Diceros bicornis minor: one gene and its partners. The protein of the gene in region 3 binds, or shares a complex with, the protein of the main gene of each other region. Links are inferred from orthologs where the notes say so. Each region holds a gene or a part of one and is shown on either strand. Other genes may lie near its edges.

The links.
Region 1: the proteins of CTNNB1 (region 3) and BTRC are in contact, whole or in part, in a crystal structure (PDB 1P22), measured with the Homo sapiens proteins. The link is inferred for Diceros bicornis minor from reciprocal best matches to the Homo sapiens genes CTNNB1 and BTRC. Residues at the interface, in NP_001091679.1 of Homo sapiens: Tyr30, Leu31, Asp32, Ser33, Gly34, Ile35, His36, Ser37, Gly38, Ala39, Thr40; in NP_378663.1 of Homo sapiens: Tyr307, Arg321, Ser345, Leu347, Ser361, Ala385, Leu387, Lys401, Arg403, Arg426, Ala427, Ala428, Asn430, Gly444, Arg467, Gly468, Ala470, Ser484, Leu508, Arg510, Tyr524, Arg557, Phe559.
Region 2: the proteins of CTNNB1 (region 3) and CDH1 are in contact, whole or in part, in a crystal structure (PDB 1I7W), measured with the Mus musculus proteins. The link is inferred for Diceros bicornis minor from reciprocal best matches to the Homo sapiens genes CTNNB1 and CDH1. Residues at the interface, in NP_001159374.1 of Mus musculus: Leu148, Ala149, Arg151, Ala152, Glu155, Leu156, Leu159, Asp162, Val167, Lys170, Ala171, Val173, Met174, Gln177, Leu178, Phe253, Ile256, Thr257, His260, Leu264, His265, Asn290, Lys292, Phe293, Ala295, Ile296, Asp299, Gln302, Ala305, Tyr306; in NP_033994.1 of Mus musculus: Asp788, Val789, Ala790, Pro791, Ile813, Asp814, Asn816, Leu817, Ala820, Asp821, Pro824, Ala826, Pro827, Pro828, Tyr829, Asp830, Ser831, Leu832, Leu833, Val834, Phe835, Asp836, Tyr837, Glu838, Gly839, Ser840, Gly841, Ser842, Glu843, Ala844.

What each region holds. Positions count from the first base shown.
Region 1 is NC_080745.1:66,483,007-66,493,216, reverse strand, and holds the start of BTRC (F-box/WD repeat-containing protein 1A), read right to left. Parts: upstream 7,284-10,210; 5' UTR 7,207-7,283; coding exon 7,159-7,206; intron 1-7,158. UniProt on the Homo sapiens protein: Substrate recognition component of a SCF (SKP1-CUL1-F-box protein) E3 ubiquitin-protein ligase complex which mediates the ubiquitination and subsequent proteasomal degradation of target proteins. Recognizes and binds to phosphorylated target proteins.
Region 2 is NC_080771.1:20,367,562-20,377,771, reverse strand, and holds the start of CDH1 (cadherin-1), read right to left. Parts: upstream 5,887-10,210; 5' UTR 5,795-5,886; coding exon 5,741-5,794; intron 4,877-5,740; coding exon 4,762-4,876; intron 1-4,761.
Region 3 is NC_080741.1:43,545,950-43,556,159, reverse strand, and holds the start of CTNNB1 (catenin beta-1), read right to left. Parts: upstream 5,559-10,210; 5' UTR 5,394-5,558; intron 1-5,393. UniProt on the Homo sapiens protein: Key downstream component of the canonical Wnt signaling pathway.

The DNA of each region.
Region 1 (10,210 bases), on a different chromosome or scaffold from region 3:
TATCTGTTTTCATGACTTTTCAGCAAAAGCCAGAAAGTCCTTCAGAATCTGAAAATATCAGCAGCCTATCTTTGCAGCCTTAAATTTAGGTGCAGAGAAGGGATTTAAGAGCTCCAAATCTGCTATGAGTTGTTAGGGCATTATGTCTGACCTCGATTCAAATTCTGTTACAGTTCAAATTCTGTTACAAATGCCACTGGAGTGACATCAACCTTGTCCTTCCCAATGATAGAAGAATAGCGTTGTGATACTGATGAACTTATCAGGGCATCACTGTGGATTAAAGCCAAGATTCTGATTATTTCTTTATCCCTTTTTTGCCCTACATAACATGATGCAAAGAAACTTGCTGTATTAAATTGTGATTCTCAAGTATCTAACCAACAGGTGTTGTTTAGTAACGAAAATGAGAAAGTGCTAGCCAGGATGATGCCAACAAGGAGAGCAGAAAGAAAGCACAATAGTTGTCATGGTAAGCATTTTATCATTCTTCTATGAATTAAGTGGACTAGATTATTACAGATTATTGTAACTACAGATTTCTGTGCAAGTTACTCCCTCCCCCAGTCCTTCTTTGGGCAGAGTACACGTTCCTGCCCCTTGACTTTGGGCTTGACCACGTGATATGCTTTGGTTAATGGAATATTAGCAAGTGTGATACAACCAATGACTGAAAGGCACTTGAACAACTGGGCTTGCTCTCTTGTGCCTTTGCTGTAGCTATGAGAACAGCTTTGCCTGGGAAGTCACTGCCTCTGTAGTCTGAGTCCCAGAACAACGTGTGGAACTGTCTTGAGTGAGAAGCCAAGTCCAGAGTCATCTAAGCCCAGTCTATATCATCCAATTCTCAGCAAATCCACATATTCCTGGGAATAAGTATCTATCATTGTATGCTATGATATTTTGTGGTTCTTTATTACTCAGCAATTGCTAACTGATACAATGATACTGTGACAACTGTAAAATCTTACTCCATTTCCTCAGTAATTCAAATAATCAGAAAATCTATATTAAGTCTGAGCAGTAACTCCTCCACTCTGGCCACCACATGACTAGCAAAGAAATACGCCATCATATTCGATTGTTTCTCTGTTATTCAAGGATGAAATAAAGTGTAAGTGCGAGTCTCAAGTCAGACTGCCTGGGTTTGATCTCAGGCTCCTTGCTACCAGAGTGACTTAGCGCAAGATACTTAACCTCTCTAGAATCAATTGCCTTATCTGAAAATGGGGGTAACAATAGTACTGAATCTATCTTACAGGATTATTGGGAGGATTAAATGAAATAATATATCTAAAGAATTCAGAACAGCATACAGTAAACAAATAAATGATAGCTGTTAGCTGTTTTTCAAGGCTGACTATATTTTAAAAAGTAAACAAACAAAAATTAAAAAAAAAAACAACTCTCCCAATTTTACTGTGGTTATCCTGTTATTGACAGAGTCAGGTCAGGTCAGGTCATAAGCCTAGGAACGGAAAGGCAAGTATACTCTGAAGGGAGAGCCAAATCTCAGGAAGGAGCAAGACCTCAGAAGGAAATTCCAACTCAAAAGGTTCATTTTAGGCAGGCAGGAATTCTCTCTCAGCTCTGTGGCTTTTGATCCCTCGCTCCCCACCCCCACCCTGGCCACATATGAAGGCAATCCAGGAACAACAATGGTAATGCCCCAGAGAACAAATCACATTCTTAGTTCAACATTACTCTCATATCTATTCCACTGTTATTGTTTCTGAGTCTTCTGTAAAACGTTCTAGCTATGTTTCAATCAGGCTTTGGGAAAACATATGGAATTCTCCAGAGATTCCCAAAGTACAAGGTGCATCTTGTGGAATACTAGTTGAAACAATAAAATCCAGTGAACCTTTCCCATTGAGACTTTTTCCTCCTCCATTGCCACTTTTAGGAAGCTGGGATTGGTTTACTAAGGAAAGAAGCAGTTTTCTTTACAATGACCAAGTTGTTAAAACATTGGTAAATATTTTCTATTTCATCCTCCATGAATTCTTACTCTACATATTTAGAAAGCACTTCCATGCTGTATTAAAACATTATTAGAAAGTAGATGAGATTTTAAAATATTTTAATATCACAAAGATTCTTTTCTTCTTTCTTCATTGTCATTCTTTCTTTTTTTTCTTGTAATGCCATTTACCATAAAATAATGCTATCTATACATGATCAAGATCTTACATAATGTCCTGTCTCTCGTAGTAAGGGAAAAAATTCTTATCTGCTTCCTTTCTTTCAGGATTTAAATAATATTCAAATAATATAGATAACAAGTGGTCTCTCTTGAAAGTTCATGTTCTAATTTAGCAATAAAAAATTTCTGACAATCATTCAAAGTACAAGAATTTTATTTCACATCTAATAATTCACTTCCAATATCTATTATATGCATCTATTATAAACACAAATCAAGAAAATTAGCACAAAGAATTATCAATAGTTTGTAATTTTATGCCCCAATACCTACATAAGAATATCCAGAAAAGAAACTAAAGGCTAATTTAAATTGAGAACAGGTAATATATACATAGAAACTCTGACAACTTAAACTAAGAACTAGTTTCAAATGTTCATCCAACCAGCTGGTAATCAATCTCACTGATTTAAAGAAAAGCCCATCATAGTGAAAAATATGAATATTTATTTTTAAATATATTTTCTTGCTTTTAGAAACATATGCTTCTCAAGCAAATAAGAAAAGTTACTGATCATATTAATTCACCCAGTATTACCTCTACAGTGACATTAAGGCAAGTCATGTAGATCATGTTAGTTCCTTAAGAAGTTAACCTCAAAAAAGAGATGCCTCCAAAGCATTCCTAGTGTTATTACCCTCAAATTTGGCTGATCCCATTTCTATTTTTAGCCTGAACATCCAACTAGAATAGCATCTACAGCAGCCAGTCTCAAAAGGGCATGGCCAGGGCTGGCCTGGTAGCACAAGCAGTTAAGTCCGCGTGCTCCATTGCAGCAGCCCGGAGTTCGTGGGTTCAGATCCCAGGCGCGCACCAACGCACCGCTTGTCAAGCCATGCTGTGACGGTGTCCCATATAAAGTAGAGGAAGATGGGCACAGATGTTAGCTCAGGGCCAGTCTTCCTCAGAAAAAAGAGGAGGATTGGCATCAGATGTTAGCTCAGGGCTGATCTTCCTTACAAAAAAAGGGCATAGCCCCCAACAATTTCCCCCTCTCTGTTTATGCATGCCACTCTTCTTGTCTAGAAGTAGAGATTATTGCCCCTCCCTCTGACTCTGGCCTGGCCTTCACTCTCTTGGGCCAAAAGCGACATTCTCAGACTTCCAAACCTAGGACTTAAGAGAATTGGCTGATTGGCTTCTATTTCCTGTCTCCTGGAATGCTGCTTCTTAGAATCCAGGCACCACGCTTTAAAGAAATCCAAAGCCCATGTGGAGAAAGGAGGCCTACATAAAGGAGGACTTGAAGGCCTTTAGCGCTAGCTGAACTCTCAGCCAGCGGCCAGCCATGTAAGTGAGGACATTTTGAACATTCCAGCCATACTGGCACCCCAGCCAATATACCAAGTGAAAGTGAAAACTCGTCAGTCAACCACAGATTTGAGAGAAATAATAAATTGTTTTTTTAAGCTACTAAGTTTTGGGGTGGTTTGTTACACAGAAAGTTACCTTTTATAATGTTTCACTTATCCATCAACTCAATAAAAAACCATTTTATATGCCCTAAAATTAATTCAACCAAGCTTCAAACGTTTCCCCAGTTCTAAGATTCTGGGACTGGTTTATCCTGTAAATTTTTTTAAATAAACTTTAAATTCATCCCTCAACTTGTCCTTCCATCCCCCATATAAATATTTATAGATATATATATCTCTTTATAAAATGGTGCCTACATTCCTTCAATCATTTTCATTTCTCTTCTCAGGTCCTCTTCAAGTTCCCATTTATCTTTTCTGAATTATAATTGTGATGACCAAGGAAGTATTAGGAAAGGTCCTTAAGGACCTCCTAAAACTGAATGAAATATTAGCACATAGGTTATATTAGCACATAGGTTATTTAATGTAACTACTGCTTTAATATCATTTGTGTCTGGGCTGGCCCCGTGGCTTAGCAGTTAAGTGCACACACTCCGCTACTGGCGGCCGGGGTTCGGATCCCGGGTGCGCACCGATGCATCGCTTCTCTGGCCATGCTGAGGCAGCGTCCCACATACAGCAACTAGAAGGATGTGCAACTATGACGTACAACTATCTACTGGGGCTTTGGCAAAAAAAAAAAAAAAAGGAGGAGGATTGGCAATAGACGTTAGCTCAGAGCCGGTCCTCAGCAAAAAGAGGAGGATTAGCACAGATGTTAGCTCAGAGCTGATCTTCCTCACACACACAAAAAAATAATAATAATAATATCATTTGTGTCTAGAAGTTAAACCTCCTGCTTAAACTATTTTTCACAAGTATGCAAGGGTAAACTTTAAGCCTAGAGCATGTATGAATTATGTTCAACTCGGAATTAGTAGTTCCGAGTTCAACTCGGTAGTCTCATTAATAAGATTATATTGTAAAATTCCTAATCAAAGCACCATATTAATGTGGTAATGAGAAAAATTCATGAAAGAGAATATCCACTACATGTTGGCATTTTAAACAAATTTTACATTTTCTTAAACTGGAAATCAGGGTATCCGTACAAAAACTGCCATTCACAATTCACAGCTGAAGGAAGAGGTAAGGCCAAAACACAGGCAAATACTATACAAAAATTTCAACTTGATTAAAAGGATAGCCCTTCCATGTGTACTGTGCACTAATTACTTGGTGCAAGCACAAATAAAATATCTTCCTATCTCAAAATTGATTCTGAAGAAACCAACATGTTATAGCAGGGTAAATGGGACCAAAGGCAAGTTGTGACTTACTCAGATTCATAATAAGACTGTTACTGAGCTGAGAAAGAATACCAAATCTCTAACTCTCCATTCTTTGCTTCAGTTATTAAGGTGTCATTCTTGGTGACCCTCTTCACATTGGCCTTTTCTCAAACAGCAGCCACAATAGCAGGCAAGGTCAAAAATGAAAGTAACTAAAATTAAAGAAAAAATTGGCTTCTCCCTATGGAAACTGACTCAACATTTAATAATGTGTGGTGCCCTAAAAGCTGCAAACTACTACATGGCAATCTCCAGGTCCACTTTAACTCAGTCAGGAGACCATTATCGAAACATAACTCACTGGTACAAAGCAGAGATCAAGTAGTTGAGAACGTCCTAGGCTGAGGTCTAATGGGGAGTAAAGAAGATGATCTCATAATGTCTCTTTATGATCTGTAAATCACACATTATTCCATAAATCTGACACAAGTGTCAAGATTAGGATCGAGTCAGCCTTTAAACAGGAAAACAAAAATAAGCAGCTGCCACTTTTCTGACTTAAATCTAGAAGCTGGCTTGAGATATAAAGCAGCTTCTTCTTACTTCTGGAGTGCAAAAAAATTTCAAAGTCTCTTCTTAATATTTTAGAATTTCATCATTGGGCAAAAATTCAAGAACCTTCTTCAGGCCTAATGGAATTTTGTTAATGATACACTCAAACTTTAGTTAGGTGTTTCTGAAAGTACTAATACAAAATAAATAAAGTTTTAGTAAAAAAGTATTCTTGTAAATGGGGCAGTTTAAAGCCTGAATTCAATTAGGTTAGTGTCCATATTTATTTAGATTTGTTTTAGTATTTCAGGCAAAGATACAAAATAACAACTAACAAAGAAATAAGATTTAGAGTGACAAGTTACAATCACGTCTGAAAAAGCACGATGCAACTGTAAATAATATCAATGTCCCTGAGATCACCTGTTAAGATAGAAGTCTATGCATCCCATCACTCTTTAGCTGTAACCATAAAGTCTGGTTTTACACCTAGGATATACAAGAACCATCAGATCAAACACATCAAATATCAGACTATACAAACATAAGCATAGCAAAAGAAAAGCATGATACAAAGTTAAAGAACTAGGTTCCAAAGGATTTAAACACACCCACAAAATCCAATCCAAGCTCATACTGTGCTTCAACTTAAAACTGATAAGTAACCACCAATCTTGATATCTCCCATTCCCCACTATCTACATTCCCCCTTTTATCTCCTGAATTTCTCTACTGATCTCATCACTTCTTATGGGTCTTGCGATTCTAATCTCTACAGCCTTTCCTTTCCCAGAAAGTGATACAGCACCTGGGCCCCACATTTTACTAGCTCTACAATTTAGCAATAGTTTTGTTTTGTTTTCCCTATTAGATATGAATTTTGCCCCCAATCTCCTGTACCCAGGTTTTCCTGACCAATCCTCTTGCTTTTCATTACCTCGTCGGTACTACAATATTTAGCCTCTCCTTTCTAAGTAGAGTATGTATCCCTTTTCTGACATTTGTAATCCTGGCTCATGGTTAACATCCCTTTCCTTTCCCAGAGACTGTCACCATAGCCCTAGGTCCCCATCCCCAGTCCTTATCTTCCTAAGTAAGGCCTCTTCCTTTCCGGAGTTTGTCAACATTAGTTTGGCCAAGCTGCGATTGCATCCTGAAGGCAAAAGCTCTCTCTCCTCCGTCATTCTACAAAACTACAAGTCTCCCACCAGCCCTGGCTTTCTCTCCTCCACCCTTAGATCCACCTGCATCCAGCCCTGCCCGTTTTCCCCTACCCCTACTCGCAATATCTTTCCTCCCACTATCCCGCGCTCCCCTTCCCCACTCCTGAATGCACCTCTTTCCCAGGCCTTACCCGTAACCCTGACACCGAGAAGGCCCTGTCAGCGGCCTCACGGCGTCTCTCCTCCCGGCTTCCTCCGCTCTTCAGTAACTGTCCCCACGCACCTTTCACTCCAGGGCCCCGCGCGCCACCCAGAGCCCCCTCCCCGATTAAGCTCCCGCTGTCACTTGGCCTCTCATCCACAAGATGGCGGAACTGCTGCCCCCACCCCCGGGTCCTCTCCGCAACCTCCTCCCGCCTCCCTGGAGCTGCCGTCCCGTCCCGTCCTTTCAGCCGCCCCCGCCGCCGGTCTCTGCCCAGGGTCCCGCTGCCCGCTCCTCCGGCGGGTGGGCGGCCCAGGCCCGAGCCTCAGCGACGCTGCCAACGCCACCGCCTCCACAGTTTCCCGGCCTGCCCCTTCTCCTCACCATAAACTTGAGCGCTTTCTCCTGCAGCACCGCCTCGGCCGGGTCCATAATCGCCGGGGAACACTGGGTCTGCACTCCGCCGGGGCCGCCCCCTTGGTGCCAGGCCGCAGCCAACGCAGCTCCCGGATCCCGCCTCCTCTTCCTTCCCCCCGCCCTCTCTTACCTTTCAGGCACCGGCAGGGGGGCCAGGGAGGACCGGCTGTCCTGTGCGCATGCGTGAGCCCTCTGGCTCACGGGATTTGTAGTTATGGAGCTTCCCGCAGCAAAAAGTGAGTCCACACCGCGAACTGCAACTCCCGCAGTTCACTGCGGCAGGGTCGCGGGATCGAAAAGCCAAATCTAAACACTCGCCGGCAAGCAGAGATAATCAGCTGATGGGAATCGTAGTTTACAGCCTCTACGGAGCGGCACGGCTGTCTCCGTGGTTACCGAAAGACGCCAGTGACGGCTTGCCTGGTATTTGATATCGAGATGGCGACGAGTGCCTCACCTTAAGCCCAAATACTGGAAAAAACTGTGAAAGGACTCAGAGGTCCTAGCCCCTCCCTAACTGTGGTTTTAGAGAACTGGACAGCCCCAAATTTCATATATCTGGCGTCTGCAGGACGGATTTTGACCCAGAGACGCTGGGCCTATGGGCACCTGGCAGGACTTCGCAGACCAATGCAAAATTTCAAGGTCCTGCTAAGCCATTGCTTCACATTTCTCCCGAGGACCTTATTCTCCCCCACAGCAAGTCACGGCCAGATAGAACTCGGTTCCGGAAATTCTCGATGTTTAGCTCTCAGAAAGCATGACCTGCTACTGCTAACCCTGAGAAGTGAGCCCTGCATTAAATGTCAAACAAGTACTTACAAAAGGCCTTCAATGGTGGAATATAATCGCCATCCAGCAAATAAAGCATGTAAGTATTTAGTCTAGCCTTGAAAGGGACAGTACGAATTTATTTTGGAAATTAGGTCTACTCTAGGTGGAAAAAACACTAGGGTTGGGCTAAAAGTGATAGGCATGTACAAAATATCTGAATTTATAAAATAAGTGTATTAGGGAAATTCCTTTTTACTTATAGGGAAAATTTCCATTGTAAACTATTTTATTCATTCATTCGTTCAACAAACTAAGCATATAATTGTGTGCAGACATCATCCCAAGAAATGAGGATTCATTAGTGAACATGATAGACAAAGACTTGTGGAGCTTACGTTTCTAGTATGCTGATACTTTGTCCTAGTCATCCCTATGTCCACAGAACTCAGCAGAATACCTAATATATAACAGGCTTTCAGTTGATAAAAAGTCTTACTTTTTAATTTCAAAGAAAGAGTTCTACACAAGTACAAAATGGAGAAGACTTAAAGCTCATTCGTATGAAAACTACCTGGAAGTTTTCGTAGGATTAAGGCAGGATGTGACACTGTTGCCAAAAAAGCTAAAGGAGTCCTAGGCAGCTTGAAGAGCAATGTCTAGGGAATAGAGGCTTATGGTCTTACTGGAGTACTTTGTTCAGTTATGGGCACCATGTTCTACAAACATCATATGCAGGGTCATAGCCAAGGGCAGGATAACCAAGAGAGAAAATATTGGTGGATGCTTACTCTGAAAAAAGAGCGCTTAGGAATAACACGACAACTAAATTTAAGTGTTTGAAAGTATTGAAAGGCATATGTATGTAGCTCCAGAGGGCAGACTCGGACCAGTGGGTGGGATAATGATGACGATGATAATTATCACTTCATTAGCTCTTTGTGCCAGGCACTGTATTAGGCATTTTGGCTTCATAATCTCTAATATTCATAGTAACTCTGTAAAACAGGTATTATTATCTCTAATTTACAGATGAAGTTAATGGGACTGATAGAAGATAAAGGGCCGGCCCCGTGGCTTAGCGGTTAAGTGCGTGCGCTCCGCTGCTGGCGGCCCGGGGTTCTGATCCCAGGCGCGCACCGACGCACCGCTTGCTGGGCCATGCTGAGGCCACGTCCCACGTACAGCAACTAGAAGGATGTGCAGCTATGACATACAACTATCTACTGGGGCTTTGGGGGAAAAAAATAAATGAATAAAATTAAAAAAAAAAAAGATAAATAACTTGCTCGAGTCATACAGCAAATTACGTAGTCAGGATTCTAACCCAAGTCTGCTTGACTCTAAGGCCTGTGCTATTTTCACTGAAGCACACTGCAGTGACATAGTACTCAGACTCAGAGCTTTCTAGTAATCAGAGCTGTCCTGACAAAGGAAGGGACTGCCCCATTCCTGAAAACATATAGAGGAAAACCATCTATCAGGGGTATTTTCTAGGGGGTTTCAGTTTGGGTGGGAGGTTAAGATCTTTTAAACTTTAAGATTCCATTCTGTTGAGAAGTCGTTTGTTTTACTTTGTTATGCATAGAGGAGTATGAAAATATTGACTGTTGAGGCTGGCAGTCAGTGAGGGTCCTCACTTTTTCTGGTCATGTGGAGGTAAGGATTAGTAAGGCAAATACAAGAAGTTATTGTTTAGAAGCCCAACCAGCTAGACAGTTCATATGTATACAGATTGAAACTGAGCAGGCAGGGGCTGGGTACAGAAAGGGTAAATCCTCTTTCTTGAAAATTGACCACTGTGGTCAAACAAACTGAGAAATCCAACTATGAATTACCTGTGAAGTCCCTCATATCCAACATAGTTTAGGAAAGTTTATTAGACTAGAAGTTGAGGCCTGGTTCTAGCCCATCCTTTCTCTAGTTAATTGGTTGACTTTGGGCAATTTAACTGGACCTCTTTTGTCGTGTGGAACACAAAGATCTCTGCCAACACTAAAATGGGTGCACCTCTGAGCCGACTTAAAGCTTAGTTGCTCAAGGAGAATACTGAATCATTAGAACCTTTAAAGCTCCACTTTACTGGAAAACTAGATTTCCAGCGTGAGAAATCGCAGCTACTATTGGACTTAATTTCTTCCCCTAACTTCCTAGTGTAAGACCACAGAGTACTCTGACTTATCCTTGTCTATTAGTGTCTGTATCCAGCCAGTAATCTATCAAAATGTCTCTTCCAGCCTCCACCGCC
Region 2 (10,210 bases), on a different chromosome or scaffold from region 3:
CTTTAACACAGAAGCAGGGAGAGTGAGGAAACTGGTTTGGCTGGTTTGCTGGGTGGGAGGGAGCCCAGGGAAACATTTGAACCAAAGGGAAAACACGGGTGAGTCTCAAACAGAAAGCACCCAATACTCCAGGTGCTTTAATATTTAATATTCACTGAGCACTTGACACACCCCATGACTTGGGTGCTGTTATGCCCATTTTACAGAAGGGGAAACTAAGGCTTAGAAAGTCCTTGGCCAATGTCCCTCGGCTGGCAAGGGGCGTTACTTGGATTTCAATCTAGGCAGTCTGACTCAAAAACCTTCCAAAGGTTGGGACGATGCCACCAGGGCCTTGGGGGGAAGTAGAGGATTGGAGGTAGATAAGAGGAAGGAAAAGAGCAGATAGAGTGGAGGCCCAAAGCCCTCCCAACAGTAACAAGCATAAGCTGAGGCATATTAAAGAGAAACTTGAATTAGTGAGGGAGAGAGAGAGGCCACCACAAATTTCTTTTTAATTGACCAAATATGAAAAACACTTAAAAATTACTAACTGCCCTTCCATTTCTGGATTCAAGTTTGAGGTCTCCCTCTCTGACCTCCGCAGCTTTCAGAGGGAAGCACTCAGGACACTGTATCTCCAGGACACACTTAGCTCAGCTCCAAGAGCCACTGACTGGCCTGCAGCCCTCATAAGCATCTTAGGAAGTTCTGACAGACCCAAATCTTTCCTGCCCAGTTACAATCAACATTGAGGGCTGGCCTCAGGCCAGAGAGCTTGAGAGGAAAAAAATGAGCCAAGGTATGAGTGGTAGTAAATATTCATTCATTCATTCATTTGCTCAAAATAGTATTTGAGTCCCTACTCTGTCCCTAAGAAAAATGAGCCACCATTTAACAACTCTTTCCTGTTTCTTTACATCTCTCTCACTTGCTCTATGTTCAGCCCATGTCTGCTTTATCCATTACTGTAACCCCAGTGTCCAGCCCAGGTGCGAAATAAACGAATATGCACATTGAATTCTCATGACAAACCTCTAAGTATCACTGCCTCCTATTTTACACGTGGGGAAACTGAGGCTCACAGAAGTAAAGTGATTTACCCAAGGCCACATAGCTAGTAGCTGAAATTCACAGCTGGATCTTTCATGTACTTACTCATACTGAGTTCATTCCCCTTCTTGAAAGGCTAAAGCCCTGAAAGGAGATGGGGGTTGAGGCAGAGTGGAAACCCAGAAAGTCTGGATTGTGACAGATGCCTCTCGGGGAGTTTAGGGTTTTCGCAGCTTCTGGACGATGTGAGAGCTGATTGCTTCAGCGTCTGGCTTATCTGGAGCTATGCTTGGAAAGGAAAGTGTAAAGGCTCACCCAATAAAAAGCCTGGGAGAGCAACCCGGGATTTCCATAACCACCTGGCAGAGGCAGGGCAGGTCCAGTGGGCCCCACGGGGAAGGAGTGGCAGTCAACCTCCTTAAATGGCCTTGCAGGGCCCCAGATCTTTCCACCTCCACTGCTCCTGAGACACAAAGGCAAGGGCAGGAGAATGACCCATTAGCATCCTTCCCCAGTGAGCTCTGCTTCAACCCTTGCCACAGCCATGAGTAATGGAGAAGTGACATTTAGGAGATTGAGGGCTGGGGGAGTGGGGATCCGATGATGTAAGGTGATCCCCAAGCAAGCTTCTGTATTTGTTTGTTTAAAGCCCAGTTTAATTGGGGGGCCTGCATACTGTTTCCACCACATTTCAGCAGGTCTTTTAGAAAGAGGGGGAAATGGATGAGTTAATCCACACAAGTGGGTGTCTGTGAGCTAGGTTGATCCATCAAGCAGCCAGGCCTCAGACCCCAGATATAAGCCTTGTTTGCCCAATGCCAGGTGGTGGAGAAGCAAAGCGAGGAAACCATTGGTTTAAAAGCCTGCCCACCCGGCCCCCTGGCTTAGTGGTTAAGTGCGCGCACTCCGCTACCGGCGGCCCAGGTTCGGATCCCGGGCGCACACCGAGGCACTGCTTCTCCGGCCATGCTGAGGCCACGTCCCACATACAGCAACTAGAAGGATGTGCAGCTATGACATACAACTATGTACTGGGGCTTTGGGGGAAAAATAAATAAATAAAAATTAAAAAAAAATAAAAGCCTGCCCACTTTTTTTTCCCACCCCTCAATCAACTTAAAGCTGAGCACACTAGGATAATACTGCTGAGATTCCAAACTGCCTAACAGCCTGGGTTTCTCAAACTAGTTTGTGTTAAGAAAGAGGAAAATAATCAGAAACTCTCAAGAACCAGTTTACAGGTTTTTAAAAAACATTCTCCATTCTAGAATCTGGAAAGAAACCAACGGAGTACATACAAGGCTGTGATTGCAGTCATCCATCTCACGAGGCACAGGAATGGCCCCAGGAAACCAACCCAAGCTCCCCTGAGTTCGGTCAAGCCCTATTTGTGACATTCACTGGTGACAAAAAGTGACAGGTTCCTTGTTTTCAAACTCCCATGCAGCAAATTCTCCCTGGGGCCAACGTTTACACCTGGTGCTAATGTGGCATCCCTCCATTTTCCTGGAGTGTCCAGAGGGAGGCCACCTCCCTAAATCCTGGCTGCCTTTTTAATCACAAAGCCAGTTCCCTGAGGTTACATGTGTGATCTTACCAGAAGGGGACTTCTGTCCTGGGGTGATGCCACATTGGACGGGTAGAAGGAGACCCCATGGTCCAAAAAGGCCAAAAAAAGTGAAATGTCAGGAAATCTGTTGAACCGGGATAGGTCCATGGGCCTAAAGGGAGCTGGAACCAGCCACACAAGCAGCCTTGCGGAGGCCGCCTCTCCCACCAAGACCACAAGCGGCAGGCCCCCTCCGCCTCCCACCCAATCTGACCCATCTCCATCGCCACCACCTGCTCTGGGGGTCCTGCTCTATCAACACCTCTCCTCTCCCAGGCACACAGGGACCACGACGTCTACTTCACAATGGACACCAATTCCCCAAACACCCTGTTTTCTTGATTGATTATTGAATTATTGAGAAGCGGAGAGAACAGGAGAAGGACCAGCTGTGGATCCCTGAGCAGATTACTAAATTGCTTTATGCTTCAGTTTCCCCACCCACAAAATAGAAATAATAAGGTTCTTGGGAAGATTAAATGAGGTAAAATATGTGAAACATTTTGCCCCAGAGTCTGGTTAAAAAGCAAATAATAGATGCCACTGCTAATAATAATGATAATATTTATATTATTACTAGCATGTAATAATGTTGTTAGCGGTCAGACATAAGAGCTTGGGGAGAGGAATAAAAACCAGACTAACCCTCCCTTGGCACTAGCAAATATCTTGGTGCAGGAAAACAAAATGACCAGCACTTGTGTTGGGACACCTCACACACAGGCACACACTCCCTTTCTAACCCTCACCTGCTCCTCAAGGCTGGGTCAGCTTTGCCTCCTCTCAGAAACCAGTCCTCACTGCCCACTGATACCCATCAAAACATCCCAGGCCACCCACACTCTTGGCACCTAAATGTTCACGTCCCACAGTGCCCTCTAAGTGGGTCCTGGGACACTCCCAGCAACCTGCTGGAATGTGAAATACCAAGAGCTGGGCTGGAGTGCCCCTGTATCTCCTCAGTTCATTCCCAGGTGCCCAGCACAGAGTCAGGCAGAATATCAAGCAGAGAACTGGCCAAGTAATGGCGGACTTACTGCAAAATCAGGCAGACAACACTTCCTACCTGACCCAATAGAAAGCTCTACACAACACAGACGGGCCTCAGAAAAGTAAATATGTTTAATCAATCAAGCTGCAGTTTCTGTTAAGAAAAAATCCCGCCCACTGTTGGAACAACTTCCAAAGTTCAAAAAAGAATTTCAGACAACAGCATGATTGCTGCAAATTTTTCACGTGGCCAAAGACTGGAGGAATAAACTCGGTGAATTCCCTCAGAGGAATTGTGGGTGATTTCTCATTTTAAAAAGTGTTTCTTTTACTGTTATGAAACTTGCCCAACCAACTAAAATCAAGAGGGAGGAGAAAGTCGCCTGGTAGGAAATAAGCACCTGGGAATCAGTGAAGCCAGAAGAGAAACTAACTTTCCCTTGCTCTCACTCCTGGGCCACTGAAAAGTGAAACAGAGCAAGCTCTCAAATCCTGATGATCACAGTGATAAGGCCCAGAATTACGTTGTGTGCGTTTTCATAACCTGAGTCAGAGCTACCAGGCTTTTTTTTTTTTTAAACCATTATTCCTTGAGGGAATAGTACCTGTATCAAAATGTTTTCATCTCTGTGAGTAATAGCCACAGCCTGGTAACCAAGAGAGGGATCCTCAGTCATCCCAGAGATGGTGCAGAATGGGGCCTGGGAGTCAGATCCTAGTTCAAATTCCTGTTCTGCTGACCCTGGGCAAGTGGACTCCACCCTCTGAGCCTCCATTTGCTCATCCGTAAAACAGGAATTACTGCTCCCTTCTCACACATCAGGTTTTTGCAGTCTGAAATGACAGACTGTCTCTAAAGTGGTCAGGACACTATGAGACACACTGAAGGCCTCTAATAAGTGCTCCCCCCCTTATAACATAACCATACGAGGATAGCCCCTCAACCACAGTGCTCAATCAGGGTAAAAGTTCAGATCCTTACATCTGTGTAAATTTCAAAGGGGTGTCATTTGAGCCAGAGAAGGAGGGCTTGCCCAGTTCAGTCTAGGGCCGTGGGAGCGCAATTTCTTGGACACTTTCCACTCCTACCCCAACCCACCCGGCTCAGCACACCGCCGGCGCGCCCTCACCTCTGCCCAGGACTCGGCCCGTCTCCAAGTGCCGCCGGGGCACCGTGAACGTGTAGCTCTGGGCACCAAAGCCGGGACGGCAGGGCTCCGGCTCCTGGCAGAGCCACGATGAGACCTGGGGTAGGGAAAAGGTATGGAACCGGGGTGAGTTGGGGGGTCCCTTCCTGCCCACATCGAAACCAACAGCGCCGCCCCTCCCTCGCTCCCGGCGTCAGGACTGTGGGAAGGACCCACCCCCGGGGCAGGCAGCCACGCCAAACTCTTTCATTCCGAAACCTGCGGCCGCCAGGACCCCAGGCCCTTCCAGGAGAGGGGGCTGCTGGTCACCTCCTCCCGACCTAGCACCTCTCCTGTCTCCTTTACAATTTCACGGAGGCATCTTTACTCTTCCCAACTCCACTTTCCTCATACCGGGAACGTTCTCACTCCTAAGTCTAGTTCCTCATACCGAGGGGCGCTCCAACCCCTTTGGACCCCACTTTCCTACCCCAGGGGCACCCCCATACCTACTTACTACCCTTTCTTTACATGGCAGGTGCCTTTATTATCTATTGGTTCCCTTTCCTTACCTCAGGGATCGAACCCACTACTCCTGGCTCCCCCTTGACTTGCGCCGGGGCTCCCCTTCCATATCCCTACCCCTACCCTGCTCCACAGCCCCCGCTGCCCGCTCCCCGCCACACCGCGGCGAACCGGAGTCCCAGCGCCTGCAGCGAGGCGCGCGCCCCCTCGGTGTCTGCGGGCTGGAGTGGGCAGAGCCGCGCTCGCCCTTCACCTGCTCCCACCCCCATCTCCCGGGAGTCCAGAGCGCGGCGCAGCTTCCAGGCCGTTTAGGCCCTTTGGACCCAAACTTTCTTAGTGGAAGAGGGAACGACGAGAGAGACGAAGGGACGACGAGAGAGGAGGGGAAGGGACGCGGGGCCGGGGCGCGGTTGGTGAGGCTGGAAGGCGTCTCCTGCAGTCCGGGGACCCGACGTACCTGCAGCAGCAGCAACAGTAGGAGCGCAGAGAGGCTGCGGCACGGAGGGCCCATGGTGGGCCGGGCGAGGGTCAGGTCGGCTCTGGCCAGGCTGGGCCGGGCTAGAATCTAGCAGGACTTCCGCGAACTCACAGGTGCTCCGCGACTCCCGACGCCACTGAGCCGGGCAGCGCCGCGGCCGCCAGGTGAGCCTCGAAGGCCCCGCCCCCAGCCCCGCTGATTGGCTGAAGGTGCACCTGCCGGCTGCAGCCAATAAACGGCCATGGCCTCAGCTTCCTCGACAGAGGGCGGACGGCCCGCCCACGATCCGCCCCCCTGCCTCGCGCCGACCCGGTGACTCGCTGGCCGGTGGTTGGCAGGGTCGAGGTAGGGTGTAGGGGCTCCCCGATTGCGATTACCACCAGGTTCGAATCCCAGCCTCGCGGTGGTTCACTAACACCCGGGGTCCGAAAGGACTTCCGCTTAATTGAGTTCTGTCTCTTTAACTGCAGGTCTCCATCGGTTAGTGAGTTTGCAAATCAGATCACTGGGTAGCACCCACCTTTTGAAGCCTCAGTTTCTCCACCTTCCAAATGAGAATAATAATCACAAACGCCTCCCTCTGTTGTTGTGAGGTTGCCACACAATTAATAAGACCAGTGTTTCCTGCAATATAAAAGCTCTGTATGGATGTGAGGGATAAAAATAGTAATAATAGGTGCTGGGGCATTGAAAGTTACAGTGCCAGGCTCTGTGCTAAGCATTTGACATTGACCATCTCAGTTAAACTCATCTCCAAACAACCCAAGGGCTTTGTTATTATTCCCTTTTGTTAGGCAACTAAGGCATAAAGAATTTGAGGCCTGGGAGTTGGCCCCGTGGCTTAGCGGTTGAGTGCGCCCGCTCCGCTACTGGCGGCCCTGGTTCGGATCCCGGGTGCGCACCGACGCACCGCTTCTCTGGCCATGCTGAGGCCACGTCCCACATACGGCAACCAGAAGGATGTGCAACTATGACATACAACTATCTACTGGGGCTTTGGGGAGAAAAAGGGAAAAAAAGGAGGAGGATTGGCAATAGATGTTAGCTCAGGGCTGGTCTTCCTCAGCAAAAAGAGGATTGGCATGGACATTAGCTCAGGGCTGATCTTCCTCAGGAAAAAAAAAAAAAGAATTTGAGGCCAGTAGGAGGTGGGGGGAGGACTGGAACTCATCTCCCTCTGATTCCAGAGCCCTTTGTTCTATTAGCTTCACCTCATGCGGCCTCAGATAGTCTTCCAGCTGGAGCTGCAGTTTTCAATCTGTTCTTTAATGAAGATCTGGAAGAGACCCTTTCGAGATCACCCAAACCTGTTCTTTGCAAATAACTCTTTCAATGTCACATGGAAGTCAACCTCAAAGCCAAGACTAGAACCTGAGATTCCTGATCCCCAGACTGGGGCTCCTAACACCACACCACAGCCACCACCACCCTCTCTAGAGAATTCTGTCCCCAGTAAAATAATTTTAGGATCAAAAAAGGAATAGACATGCAAATGTTAGGTTAGACAGTTTCCCTGTCTGACTGCCAGGGGCCAGCCCCTTCTTTGTGGTTGGCTACCCTGATAAGGACACCATCTTTCCCTTCCCCCTTCAAGCGTGATCAGAACTACAAAACAGTGTGTGGAGTCAGCTGCTCACTAGCTGTGTGACCTTGGGCTAGTCAGTGTTCTTACCTATATAAATGGGTTGATAGGAGCTAATGCAAGAAAATCACTAAACAGAGTAGTTGACGCCTACTAGCAACTGCTCAGTAAATGTTGTGGAGGTTGTTCTTTGGAAAGAACCACTGCCTTTCCTCCTTCCTCATGGGGAAGGCCATGTTTAGAATATTTCACCCAGAGCTAAAGGTGAGTCTGAGCCCATTGTGGCTACTTTCTCAACCCCAGAGGAAAGGCGTTGTCTCAAACCAAAACACTGTTTTGGGTCAGCCCCCTCCCACCCCCAACCTGTCCCCTCAGGCTTAATGGGTTTCTGAGCACATGCCCAGGCCATTTGATTTCTGCATCTTGGCTCTCTGTCTCTTAACCCACCAGGAGGCTCAGAGGGAAAAGGCTCCAGTATTTCCTTTCCCACTGAGGCTCCTGCCGGACTGTGCATTAAACAAGATAATGGAAATACAGAAAGAGGCGTCTCCCCCGTGGGGCTGCCTTGTCCGTTTATTTTTTCCTCCCAGTTATGTAAAAATACATATTTTATATCTTCGCTCAGCCCAGGGAGCCTTTAGGGCTTTGCTTTCCTCCCCCCAGCAAGCCCTGGCCTTGTAGCTCCGCGGCAACTTTCATCGACTCTTCCATTACACTCTGATAACTCAATAAGAAGGATTTTAGAAAACAATTAGGGGCAGTGAGGACAGGTCCGGCACAATGCTCTCTCCAGACTTCTCGGCAAGTCCTTCTCCAAGCTGCAGGGAGTGGATCGTGAAGGCCTGCCCGCTCAGGGCCGGTCTTCCTCAGCAAAAAGAGGAGGATTGGCATGGATGTTAGCTCAGAGCTGATCTTCCTCACACAAAAAAATAAAAAACATTGAAATTAATGCTTTAAATAGGTGAATTGTGTGGCTTATGAATTTTGTCAGAATAAAACTGTTTTCTTTTTTAAGTGGGGGGCTGTCTCGCTAAGAGCAGGCTTAGTAGAGGGGTGACTTTTGTAGCCCTATACCTCCTACTGTTTTTGTTTGTTTCACACACAGAAAAATCTAGAGACCTCTCTTTTTTGTGTGTGTGAGGAAGACTGGCCCTGAGCTAACATCTGTGCCATCTTCCTCTATGTTATATGTGGGATGCCTGCCACAGCATGGCTTGATGAGCAGTGCCTAGTTCCACACCTGGGATCCAGGCCTGTGGGGAACCCTGGGCCGCCAAAGCAGACCGTGCAAACGTAACCAGTATGCTACTGGGCTGGACCCTCTAGAGACCTTTCTTCCATGCACATATATAATTTATAATCATAACGACAACAACAACAATAATGGCTCTAATTTATGTAACACTCACTCTGTTCCAGGTGCTAGACCCAGGCACTTTTCCTTTTGTTAACTCACGCACCTCTATGAGGAAGATACTGTCCTGTCCCCTCTTGAGGAAACCGAGAGGTGAAGTGGTCTTCCACAGCCAGTAAGTGGCAGAGCTGTGGCAAACCCACTGTGTGCCAGGCCCTGTGCTCAGTACCTGCAACAGAGAAATCAGTCCTGAAGGCCACCGCTCCCTCCACTGTCCAAGAAGAATGACCTAACCAACCCAGTGCTAGGATGACCAACTGTCCCGTCTGCCCAGGACAGAGAGGGGTCCTGGAGTGTGGGACTTTAGTGCTAAACCTGGAAAGTTCTGGGTAAACCAGGACTAGTTAGTGAGCACTGATTGACTGTCCATTCCTGTGTGTGTGTTGTACACGCGTGTGCTCGCCTACTCACCGGCTCATGAAAGGGGTGCGTCTTGGTCTTTCCAGGTTCCACACTTCTCAAGTTTTGCAGGAGGGAAAGGTGAAGCTGGCCGTGCTGGAGCCAGACTGGGGCAGGTGGAGGGAGCTTCCACAGGCAGGGGTGGAGACCTGCGGAGCCATAAAACCTGGGCAAAGTGCAAGGTTTCCATTGCAGGCCTGGAAGAAAACTCCAGAGTCCAGACCGAGGATGTGGGGCCCATCATTTTCTAGAGTGACTCTCCAACTTTTCAGGACACACTCATTCATTCACTCACTCATCCATTCATTCATTCAGTAAACCCTCATTGCACCTAGCACATGCCAAGCGCTTTGCTGGTGAGGGAGGCCCTCCCTGCCCTCAAGGAGCTTTCAGTCTGGTGAATAAACAGACAAGGGAACCAGGTATTTATGATCCAGGGCAATAAGCAACAATGATATTCATATTTAACAACTGGTAGAACCCGGGCACCAGGCCAACCAAAATGAACACCAGCCGTGAATGCTGGGGTGGGGGTGGGGGTGGGGGTGGAGTCCCAGGCCCCCTGCTGTGCCAGGCTTTACCCTCTGGTTGCTGGGTGGTGGGGAGATCTGGAGGGGTGTGGGAGGGGCTGCAGGTGTGGGGAGCACTCTGAGAGACTGAGGGAAGTCGCTGATTCCCAAATGATGTGGAAAAATTTCAACACAATATTTCAGCAACTAGAACCTAGAGTGATATCAGTGACCCTGGTTGGAGACCAGCCCTAGTGATAATGATTTAAGATCAACAAGGCAAGTGATGTGGAGGCGCAAGGGGCTCAGAGAGGGCTTCTTGGGGGAAGTGACATCTAGGTTGAGTTAGCCAGAGTGTTCCTGGCAGAGGTTACCACCTGGGGAAAAGCCCAGAGAAGAGGGCTTAGCACTTTAGGTAGTTCAGTCTAGCTGGAGGAGAGGCAGGTTAGACCCAACAGGTGAGGAGAGTGTTGCGGGGGGCTGTGTTAATCATGGTCATCAGCTTGGACTGTGTCCTCAGAGCAATGGGGAACCATTGCAGGATT
Region 3 (10,210 bases):
CCACTGTAATGTAAGACCAACCTATATGGCTTGTGAAAGCAATCTTACTTTAGTCACATATCTTGAATGTCAAATTGTTGTATGCTATATTGCCAATTTCAAGAGATAAATTAAGTCCCTAATAGGTAGACGTTTTTCTCAGTAAGCTTTATGTACATAATTTTTAAAAGAACTTTCAAATCTACTCTTATAGCTCATCAAAATCTTGGAAAATTAGAACAGAAGCTATTTGACCTATAGAGAGAAAATGCTGCAAATACTAAGCATCAACTTGGACATTACTAATTCCAAATGTGATCCTTTATGAAGGAACACAATTCATTCTGAAATCACCATTTACATGAAACTGAGGTCTTCTTGTTAGAAAAAAAATTAGATATAACAATAATACATTTCTTAAATAGTCAAAAATCATTATCAATGTTTCCACAAAATTATATTGAATTCCAAGAGCAAAGTGGAGCAGTGATACTGTCATTTTCCCTCCCTACTCTGTCAACTTTTTAATTTCATTTCAACCACCCATTATGGAAGACAAAGGAAAAAATAAGTTTCTAAACTCTGAGAATTTTCCATAAAATGACCGTTTGACTTCCAAAAGATAATTTAGAATAGGCTTCAGAATTTCTGTTACTAATCAGAACCTGATTTGAAACAAGTATTTTCAGAAAATAATGTTACTAATAGAAATAGCAAGAACTTTAACAGAGGAGCATGGAGAAAGGTTTTTATTGAAAATTTTAAAAGGCAAAATATCAGTATAGTGATATTTTGTGGGCTATCATCATAGCCCACAACTCTATACAAAATGACACCCATAGTCACTAGGGCATTATATTCTCGAGTTCACATATACTCAACTGGCTTAGTTTCTATCTAGTTCCTAACACAGACATAATATTCTTTGATAATATAACTGAGTTGAGCACTTACTCATGTTTTACTATGTAACAGATGTTAGATAAACTGACAATTCATTTCTTCATTAACTTTTTCTAAGAATTTGTTTCTCTAATTCATTAATATGGCTAAACGTTACGATCTTTTACCCCCAAATTGTTATATTGAGTTTTTGGTTTATCATTACGATATATTTAAACAGAACTGCCTGTTTAAAGTGACTTAACTAAAATTTAATCCCTAATTTAACTTTCACCTTTCTCTTGCAAACACTGGTTGAGATGACATTCTCTCAAGCCAACCTTTTAATTAGCAGTATTGATATGAATAAATTATTCTAAAATTCAAACAATTTCTTGATTGATGCTTTCTCATGAGAACTATTCATAAATAAACTCCACACAAACAAACTTGCTAGGGGGGAAAAATCACAAGCATTACATTATATCCACTGGAGGGCACTCAACATGACCAAAGCGTGCAATGAAAACATGCCCTAACACTACTCTCTCTCTGCTGAATCAGGTTTGAGAGTGACTTTGGGAGTGGGAATGTCTCTTAAAAGAAGAGATGCCCACAATTAACAAATGCAAAAGGTAGTTAAACTCTAAAAAGGAGTTCCTAACGTGACTGACTTTCTCTTTTAAGAGCTTCTCTTTCCTTAGGGAGAAAGCAGATTATATACATACTTCAAGGACAGCAGGATTCAGGCCTCAACTGATGGATCTAGGTTTCAAACCTGAGTCAAGCTCAGTCTTGCATGAAACACAAAAGCAGCTTTCTTAAGTAAACAGAGGAAACAGAGACCTTTTTCCTGAGTTTAAGTGATGAAAAACTATACGAATTAACTCCTACTCATTTTCAAGCAACACAAATCTCACACACACAGCAGTCTCACCTTATCCGCAGTTGCACTTTCCCTGGTTTCAGTTACCCAGGGTCAACCATGGTCCTCAACCACAGTCCGGAAGCAGATGATCCTTTTGATGATCCTTCTGACTTTGGTCAGAAAGTCGATAGTAGCCTAACATTACATCACAATGCCTATCTCATTCACCTCACTTCATCTCATCATGTAGGCATTTTATCACCTCACATCATCATCATAAGAAGGGTGAGTACAGTACAATAACATATTGTGAGAAAGACCACATGCACTTAAGTTTTATTACAGCATCTTGTTATAATTGTTCTATTTTTAGTTATTGTTAATCTCTTATTGTGCCTAATTTATAAATTAAACTTTATCATAGGGATGTATGTATAGGAAAAAACAGTATATACAGGATTAGGTACTATTCGTGGTTTCTGGAATCCACTGGGGGTCTTGGAACATATTCTTCTCAAGTAAGGGGAGACTACTGTTATTTTCCTTTTGTGAAACCTGAGAAATATATATTTATTTTAGCCTATTAACCTAGTTAACTATCACAGTCACAATTACAATAGTATTACATAAACAATAGTCTGTTAAAGAATGAGAACTGATTCTGCAATCAGTATCCTCTCAACGAGGGTACAAGAGGCAATAGCTACATGGTCTGGACTAATCAGAAGCAGCCTCCTCGTCTATATTTATTATTTACTTTTATGGTATAAAAATGTTTTCAGTCAAGCTGTTTCAACAAAGATATTGTATTCCCAATAAAAAGAGGGCTACAAGAAAACAACTAGGTGAATACAGTAATGTTTTCAAAAACAATGTCACAAGTCAACATGTAGCACTACAAAAGAGTTGCTGATAGTTTTTATTAGAAGTTTGTCCTGCTCTAAAAGCATTCAAACTTGCTGCCCTGGGTTAGCAATCAAGCGTGCTTCCAACCAAGCTCAAAGTACAAACTTAAAATTTACCACCTACTCATCTACAATTATGGATTATCAGCAACTAGTAAACCACGAAAGAGAAACAAAATCATGTTATAACTGGACAGATGAATTGTTTCATTTCAATAACATAAAAGTTTCATTTGGCTAACTATACTTATGTAGACCATTTCTGGGGTTTTATTTCACTGCTAACTTATAATAACTATAAAAGAGTGATATTCAAACTTGAATTCTCCACATCCCTAGTTTCAACAATACTTATGCTCCTCTTCTCACCCCTCCCAACAATAAAAAAGGATATCTGCAGATAGTTTTCCTAAGCATCACATCTCAATACCCTTAGACAAATCTGCCTACTTCATGTTTTCCTTCCTATTTGGGGAGGGGGCAAAGGGAACTGTCTATGAAAACAAGCATACAGAACTTTATTTATATGGACAAGTTTTATTTCAGTCATCACAGTAGAAAGCTCAATTCATGGTTTGATAAGTTTTAATACTGGAATACACATTTTTCTACATAATCTTGGTAAAGGAAGTAGTCAGCAATTAGTTCATAAGCAACAAAACTCTCGAATGCTTCTTGACATTTGAACACTGTTAAATGCTTCACTTTTTTATTAACCACCTTATTTTTAAAAACTTGGTTTTTCCTGAAAGCTATTTAAAATGACTGCTCTGGCCTCCAGGAAAATCTCAGGCCTAGGACTCCACAAGGACTCTAAGTTTTGTGCTATACTAAACTTTCCGGTGCCGGTTTTTATTCCCCCCTCAAGGACTTCAGACTTGAATAGTCTCAGCATTCCTTTAATCCTATAGAATGGTCTTCTGCAAGTTTTTCAAGTTACTGTTGCAATCACTTTAGGGCCTCGTCCTTGTACATGGCCTTCAGAACAAAGACTAGGTCAAAGTAATGAATATTGGGTGCAAATTAATCAAATTTTGTATAACGATACTCTCAAATAAACCTTAATGGTATTTTTAGTCCAGAGACTTTGAGTTTAAAAAAAGTAAAATGAATGGAGCAGAAGCCTTAGTTCAGATCAAAAAAAAAAAGCCTCCAAAGTAGAAGTTTGTCACTAATTTAAGCAGATACTAAACAACGGCATTATGTAAGTAACATTTCAAGCTATGTCTAATATTTCTTAGGACGAAAACAAGTTAACACAAAGATATCTGAAGGTAGTGAATGTTCACCAAGTGACAATAATGAAACGGCTTCCTAAATGCCAAAATATTTTATAACTTAGCGATCCGAAAAACATTAGCCTAGACTTATCAAAGGACAGCCGTCTCTTCAAGTTGATGTCTAGTCTAAGCCACCGCTATTCATGACACAAAGCTCTCATTTCACTAAAACCACTCCTCGATTTCCTTTTGCCGACCTCTGCATACCAGCAGGCCGGTCTCTCTTCATTCACCACTCACAAGCTCCGGGGGAGGGGAGACCACAGATGTCTGGAAGATACAAAGTATAAAACAATGCTCCCTCCAAAAGGGAAGAGAAAACGAAGGAAACAACTACACCCAACTGCCAAAGCTTTCAAGTTTAGCGGATTCAAAAGCGGCCTGTGAGAACTTCGAAAGTCTCTGTTCAAAGTCGTCTCCCCAGACAAAACACTGGAGGAAGCTGCAATGCTTGAATTTCATTTCACCAATTTCGTGGCGAGGGAAAAATTCACTCCGCTGAAAAGAAAACGTGCTCGGATAACCAAGTTTAGCTGCCATAAAAACTATCTGAATAAGTAATTTCTACGAACAAAATTCGCAAAGCAGTCAGAGGCTGAATTCCCGAGGTTCGCTCGATAAGAAACAAGCAAGTTGGCCTGGCCCCCCAACCCTTATTTTTAGTAGGGTCTCACACCCATCGCGGTAAATCCAGAAGACTCCAGTACACTGCACATCGCCGCTGTCCCTCAACTGCACGGTACAAGAAAAAATAGGTGCAAGACAGGGATTTTTCTGTGTGCAAACCCTACTGACGCATCGCACTGTCTGCACTAATAGTTTGAAGGTTTAAAGTTGCTTCCATTTAAACAAGCGCCAGTGCCAAACTCACATAGGCAGGGCGTTAAAAAAAAAAACACAATTCTCTTAAGAATTCCCTTAATTCGTCCTTAAGAACGAAAGAGGGAATCTGGAGAGAAAGTCCACTGGCCCTATCCGCAAGGCAGATGGGACCCAGGGTGCGTCCCAGGCCCAGCGACCGGACCCCAACTCCCCGCTGAGGCTGGAAAGGCGGAGCCCCCCGTCCCCACCCCGCCCCCCACCTCGGCCCCGGCGCATCCCGAGGCGCAGGGTCCCTCCCCCAAACTCGGCCGCGACCGGAGCCCCGGACGAAAACCACAGGCCCCCCGCACCGGCCATCCGAGCTCCTGGACGCGCCCTCGCGGCGCCCCTTCCCCGCAAGCGGCGCCCCCGGGGCCCCCGAGGCGCAGCGCTACCGGAACCCGGGCCCTGCCGCCGCCCTCCGCCCCCCGGGCGCGGCCCGCCCCCGCCGCCTCCCTGGCGCCCCCAGCCAGCAACCCCTGCTTCCCAACCCGGGCCCCACGGCTGCGCCGAGCCGGGCTCCAGCTGCCGCCGGGACCGCGCGCCCGCGACGAAGTTTAGCTCCGAAGAGAGAGCGGGAGCAGCCCCGGAAGGGTAAGGAAAGGAGCGCCCAAGCACCTCAGGGGAACAGGCTCCTCCCGCCGCGGGAGTCCGACCGTCCTCGGCCTGCAGTGGCGGCTCGGCGGGGACCGGAGCTGCTCCTCGGACCTTCCTCCGTCTCCGCCTCCCCTCGCTCTCCGCTCTCGGGAACCGGCTAACGCGGCTGCCACAGACCGAGAGGCTTAAAATGGCGCCGCACAAGGAGCTCTTATAAGTCGCGCAGGAGCCGCTGTATCCTGCCGCCACCGGCGCAGCGCGGAGCGTTCCGCCGCGCGAGGACAAGGGGCGGGGCGCGGGTGGACGGGGGAAAGTAGTCCCCGCGCCGCCGAGCCGGCTGCCGCCGTCCGAACGCCCCGGGGCGGGGCGGGGCGCCCGCGCGCTGCCCGGACGCTCTCCTAGGTAGAGCCCCGCGGCTCTCCCACCGGTCGGGACTGGAGGGCGGCCTGGGAGGGCACCGTAGTCCGAGGCGGGCGGGCCGCGGCCCCCGCGGGCCGGAGTGGCGTGGGGGGAGGGCGGCACCAGGATCCTCCACTGTCCGGAGCCCGACGCTCCCGCCCCGCGTGTGCCCCGAACCGTGAGAGCCGACGCGGGGCTTGCCACGCGCTTCCCGCCGCCCGCGGGAGGCTGCATCTCGGCCTCGGCCTTCGGGGGCCGCGCGGGCGGTCGGCACAGGCCCTGAGAGGGCAGAAGTTCGGGGCCGAGGCGGCGGCGGCGCGGGCGCTGAGGTCGGGGCCTGCCCCGCTCCAGGCGCTGCTGGGCGCCGCCGCCGCTGCCCCGCTGTCGGTCGGGGGACTCGGGCGGGTTAGGGCTTCTGCCAGCGCTGCGGTCTGGCCACACACTCCCTGCAGGACGTGGCTCGCAGCCCAGCCGCTCACCACCCTAAAGCCCCCCACTGTCCGGATCGTGCATCCCGCATCCTAACCGGCTGCTCAGCCTGAACCTGGGTGAACTACCGGGCCGAGCCGCCTGCTGTCCGCACTCCCGAAGGCTGTGAACTCGCGTTGGAGTGGGCGCCTAGCCCGCAATTCAACAAGTCCTATGAGTACCTACTGTGAACAAATGACTGATGGAAATGGATTAGCTCTAGAGCCCTGTCCGTTAGGTTAATTCTTATAGAGTCCATTTGTGTTTGGTTCCACTGTATTACTAAATATCAATAGGTTTGTTTTTTCTTTTTGTGGGGATTTTTCTTTGGAGAAGGTGCATTTCTACGGTATTACTTATTTGAGAAATCCAAGTATGTTGTTTATGGAAGGAACTATCGATTAGGCAGCTTCTAATTTTTTTAAAACTTATTTTCTGTTTTTCAAAAACATTTTCTAATTCTTTTTAATAGGCTAAAGTTGAGTCTTCATTTCCCTTGGAAATGTCTCCATTGTAATCCAGCAAGATTGGCATTTGTCAAAGCTGAAACAATTATGATCGATTCACTTTCTCTAGCCTATTGTTTTATGCTTATTTTCCCTCCAAAACAATAGAGTACAAAAAGCAACAGTGAAAGTTATCTTGAGGCTTTTATCCCTCTAATTAATGCATGCAAACAATAGGTCTTTATACATAGATACAAGCAGGAAACCTACTTACTCCTTTACTCATGCGGTAGGATATGTAGTTTTCGGTATAGTTAATACTTAAGGGCCAACTTGTTCTTTAAATAATTCTATTTTTTTTCCTGCCTGAAAGATATTTTACTATATACAGTGATAATGTCAACTGCTATCTGTCACTATTGCACATGTGGGCCCCTGCAGTGGAAAAAGTGCACACACGATGATGTTCAGTGAAATCCATTGTCTAAGATGACTTTCTCATTTTTATTTTTGCTAGTAATTCTGTAGAAGTAAGTGTGGCCAACGGTTGTGGTTAACTTGGCTGGACATAATTCAAACAGATTGACAGAAAAAGGTATTTCATCAAAGCACTGTTTCTAATATAAACTCAAAAGTATAAAATGGCATTTCCAGGTACTGATCCCCAATTTTAAAACTCATATGCAGAGTTAAAGAATATACAGTAGATTTAAGTCATAATGTAAAATCAGATTAATTAATGTTAGAGGTTCTTTTTGTATGGATATTTCCTTTTTCTATGTTTGGTTTTTTTTTTTTTTTTGCTAAATAAGGCACACTTAAATCAAGTTAAGAAATATTTGCACCATTAGAACCTCTAAAAGATAAAAAAACTCTTCTATATTTGTATTTCTCTATTCAGATGCCAAAATAATTGAAACGTTTTTCTGTAATTTAGATATCTTAATCTAAATTTAGAATTAAGATTTTTAAATCTATAATAATACTTTAAGCAAACACATGTTATTAAAGGAAATGTAAAATTTGCAACAACGCAGCAAGCTGTTTTTCCTGTCAAATTTAAGTGTACTGAAGAATTACTGGGTGACATTAAAACAAATTAGTTGAATTTAACAAATTGCTCAGAATTTTTATTTGCTTCTCAAAAAACAGAAATTGTTCCAATTGTCTCATCAAAAATATGAGATGAATAACTTGTGTGAAGTGAAGACAGATATTGTCATTAAACCAAGGAGAAATATAAGCATCAAAATACCTGATGAGTGGGTGAAATAAGTGATTTTGTAGAAATGATTTTAAAAAATTGACCTTGGGCAATACATTTCATAAAAAACACTGGGTTATCTTTTTACACCTTTTCCTTCTAGAGTCAGCCACTTGGGTGTGACCTAAATTAATCCACTTTGTGAAACTGCAAAAGACAAATGGTTCTAAATTTCAAGCTGTGTTCCTAGAAACCAAAGTGTCTCCAGCTGGGTTAGCGGAGGAGGTATTGCTTGTCATGATAGCAGACCATTGTCATATCAAGCAGGGGCTACATGGAACCTGAACGTAAAGCGTCCTTCACAAAAACACATGCTTTTAAATCACCTCTAGGCAAAGAAATAAATGCCCGGATTGTTATTGCACTTCCTACAGAAACATTAATCAAGCCAGTACTGTAAAGAAGGTCCGTTCACTTTTTGGATAGTTAACTTTATCAAATCCATTAATTAAACATTTATTGAGCACTAAGACAATGAGCTCCTTTAGAGAGAGGGAAATGGAAGACTGGCTCCTTTTGATTAGGTCCCTTAAATTAATGTATAATTGTAATTGTTAATCAACCCTACTCGAACGTAAACAGAAACAGTAGAAAACAGTGAGATGAGGGTGTGGTCTCCTCTGGACTCAGTATCTGAATCTCCTTGGGAAGAATCCTCTCCCAGCAGAAAGGTAAGACTAAATAATATTCCATGCATTTATAAACAATAGATCCCAACTCTCTAAGAAGGCCTATTAAAAATATTTCTTTTTGACAACCTGAAAACACTGGACAATAATCAGGATCAGCTTTTCATTTAGCAGCATATCAAGTGGGTTATTTATGGATTGGGACTTTTGATTTGCAATACATCATCTCAGGGTTCAGTGTTATCTTTTGATTTGTTTCCAGCTGAACAGGCTAAGTAGTTGTAAATACCTCTTGTCAGACTACATGGTTGGCTATTCTTGCACACAGAAGTAATCTAGGAACCCACTGGGCAAATTCGGCAGAGAGGCACCGTGGAAAGCTTGCATCTAGTGTGCACTGCAGAGTGAGGGAGGGGCAGTGAAGGTGGTGGGAGGCGATGGCCATGGTGGTGGCAGTGGCAGCAGCAGTGATAGTTTTGTTCATGGCCGCTGTGGTTATGCCAGCAACACTCTTCATACTTGGAGTTATGTGTTCTCCAGGCCTTCATTGGTTTGACACAGCAGTCATTGCCATACTAAGAAAGTACATTTTAATGGCTACCATAGATAGTGTGAAGGAGAAGCAATGGAGACATCATCCATGATATTCATAGAACACAAAGGTATATGTTTCTAAGAACTAAGACAATTACCGCTGCATTGCTAAGAAATCATGCTTTGGAGACATACCCCCCAACGTACATACACACACATGCACAAACACCTCTCTATTAAAAATTTCAAAATGGTTGCAGATACTTCATTCACAAGAAGGTTAAAGGCGTTTCCCAACGCAAGAAGGATTAACTTACCGGAGGATTCTGGGACTGCAGATGTATACTGCGGCAAAATCCTAAATTCATCGAAAAAAATCATTTCTGGACTCCAGCTGCTAAAAATAATAGAATTATAGTAAATCATGGGTAAGATTAAAACAAGCCATTTTCACATCCCAAAGTGTTCAGAAAAAAAATGATTCTTTTCTTTTAACTCATTTCTTAAACAATGCAAATTTTAAAGTAGCTTTTCTTTCCAGAGCACGCAGCGCCATGAAATCGATAATTTTTGATCTTTTGGTTAGTAGGCAACATGGTGAGCTATTGCAGGGACTGCAGGCAGCAGACATGTTCTTGTCAGCTAAAAATTTTCATATTGTTTTTGAATCCATTGAGATCTGTAGATGTGGTATCACCGGTTTTTTGTTTTAGCTTGCACCAGGCTATAGGCACGCAAACCCTCAGTTTATCGACATATACATGTCTATTGCTTTATATATATTAAAAACAGGGAGTCTTACTGGATCTTAAACAAAAAATTATGTAAAAGGAGTGGCTGGTGTGATTATAATCCCATCATGCAGGGTCCACGGTTCCCATTTAGTGAAATTTCGCAGAGGGCAACTTCTTAAGAACATCCCTGCTGTGCAGAGTGAAAAGCATGAACAAACCAAAGACAGAATTCATCTGTGTTTATATTTTACAAACAATGAAAAACCTACTCTTTGTATGCCTTTTTTCCCCCACCTTATTATTTCATGAAAACTGCAGCATTTTCCCCGCCCCCATCCAAACACTCACCACCCCAGCACTGCAG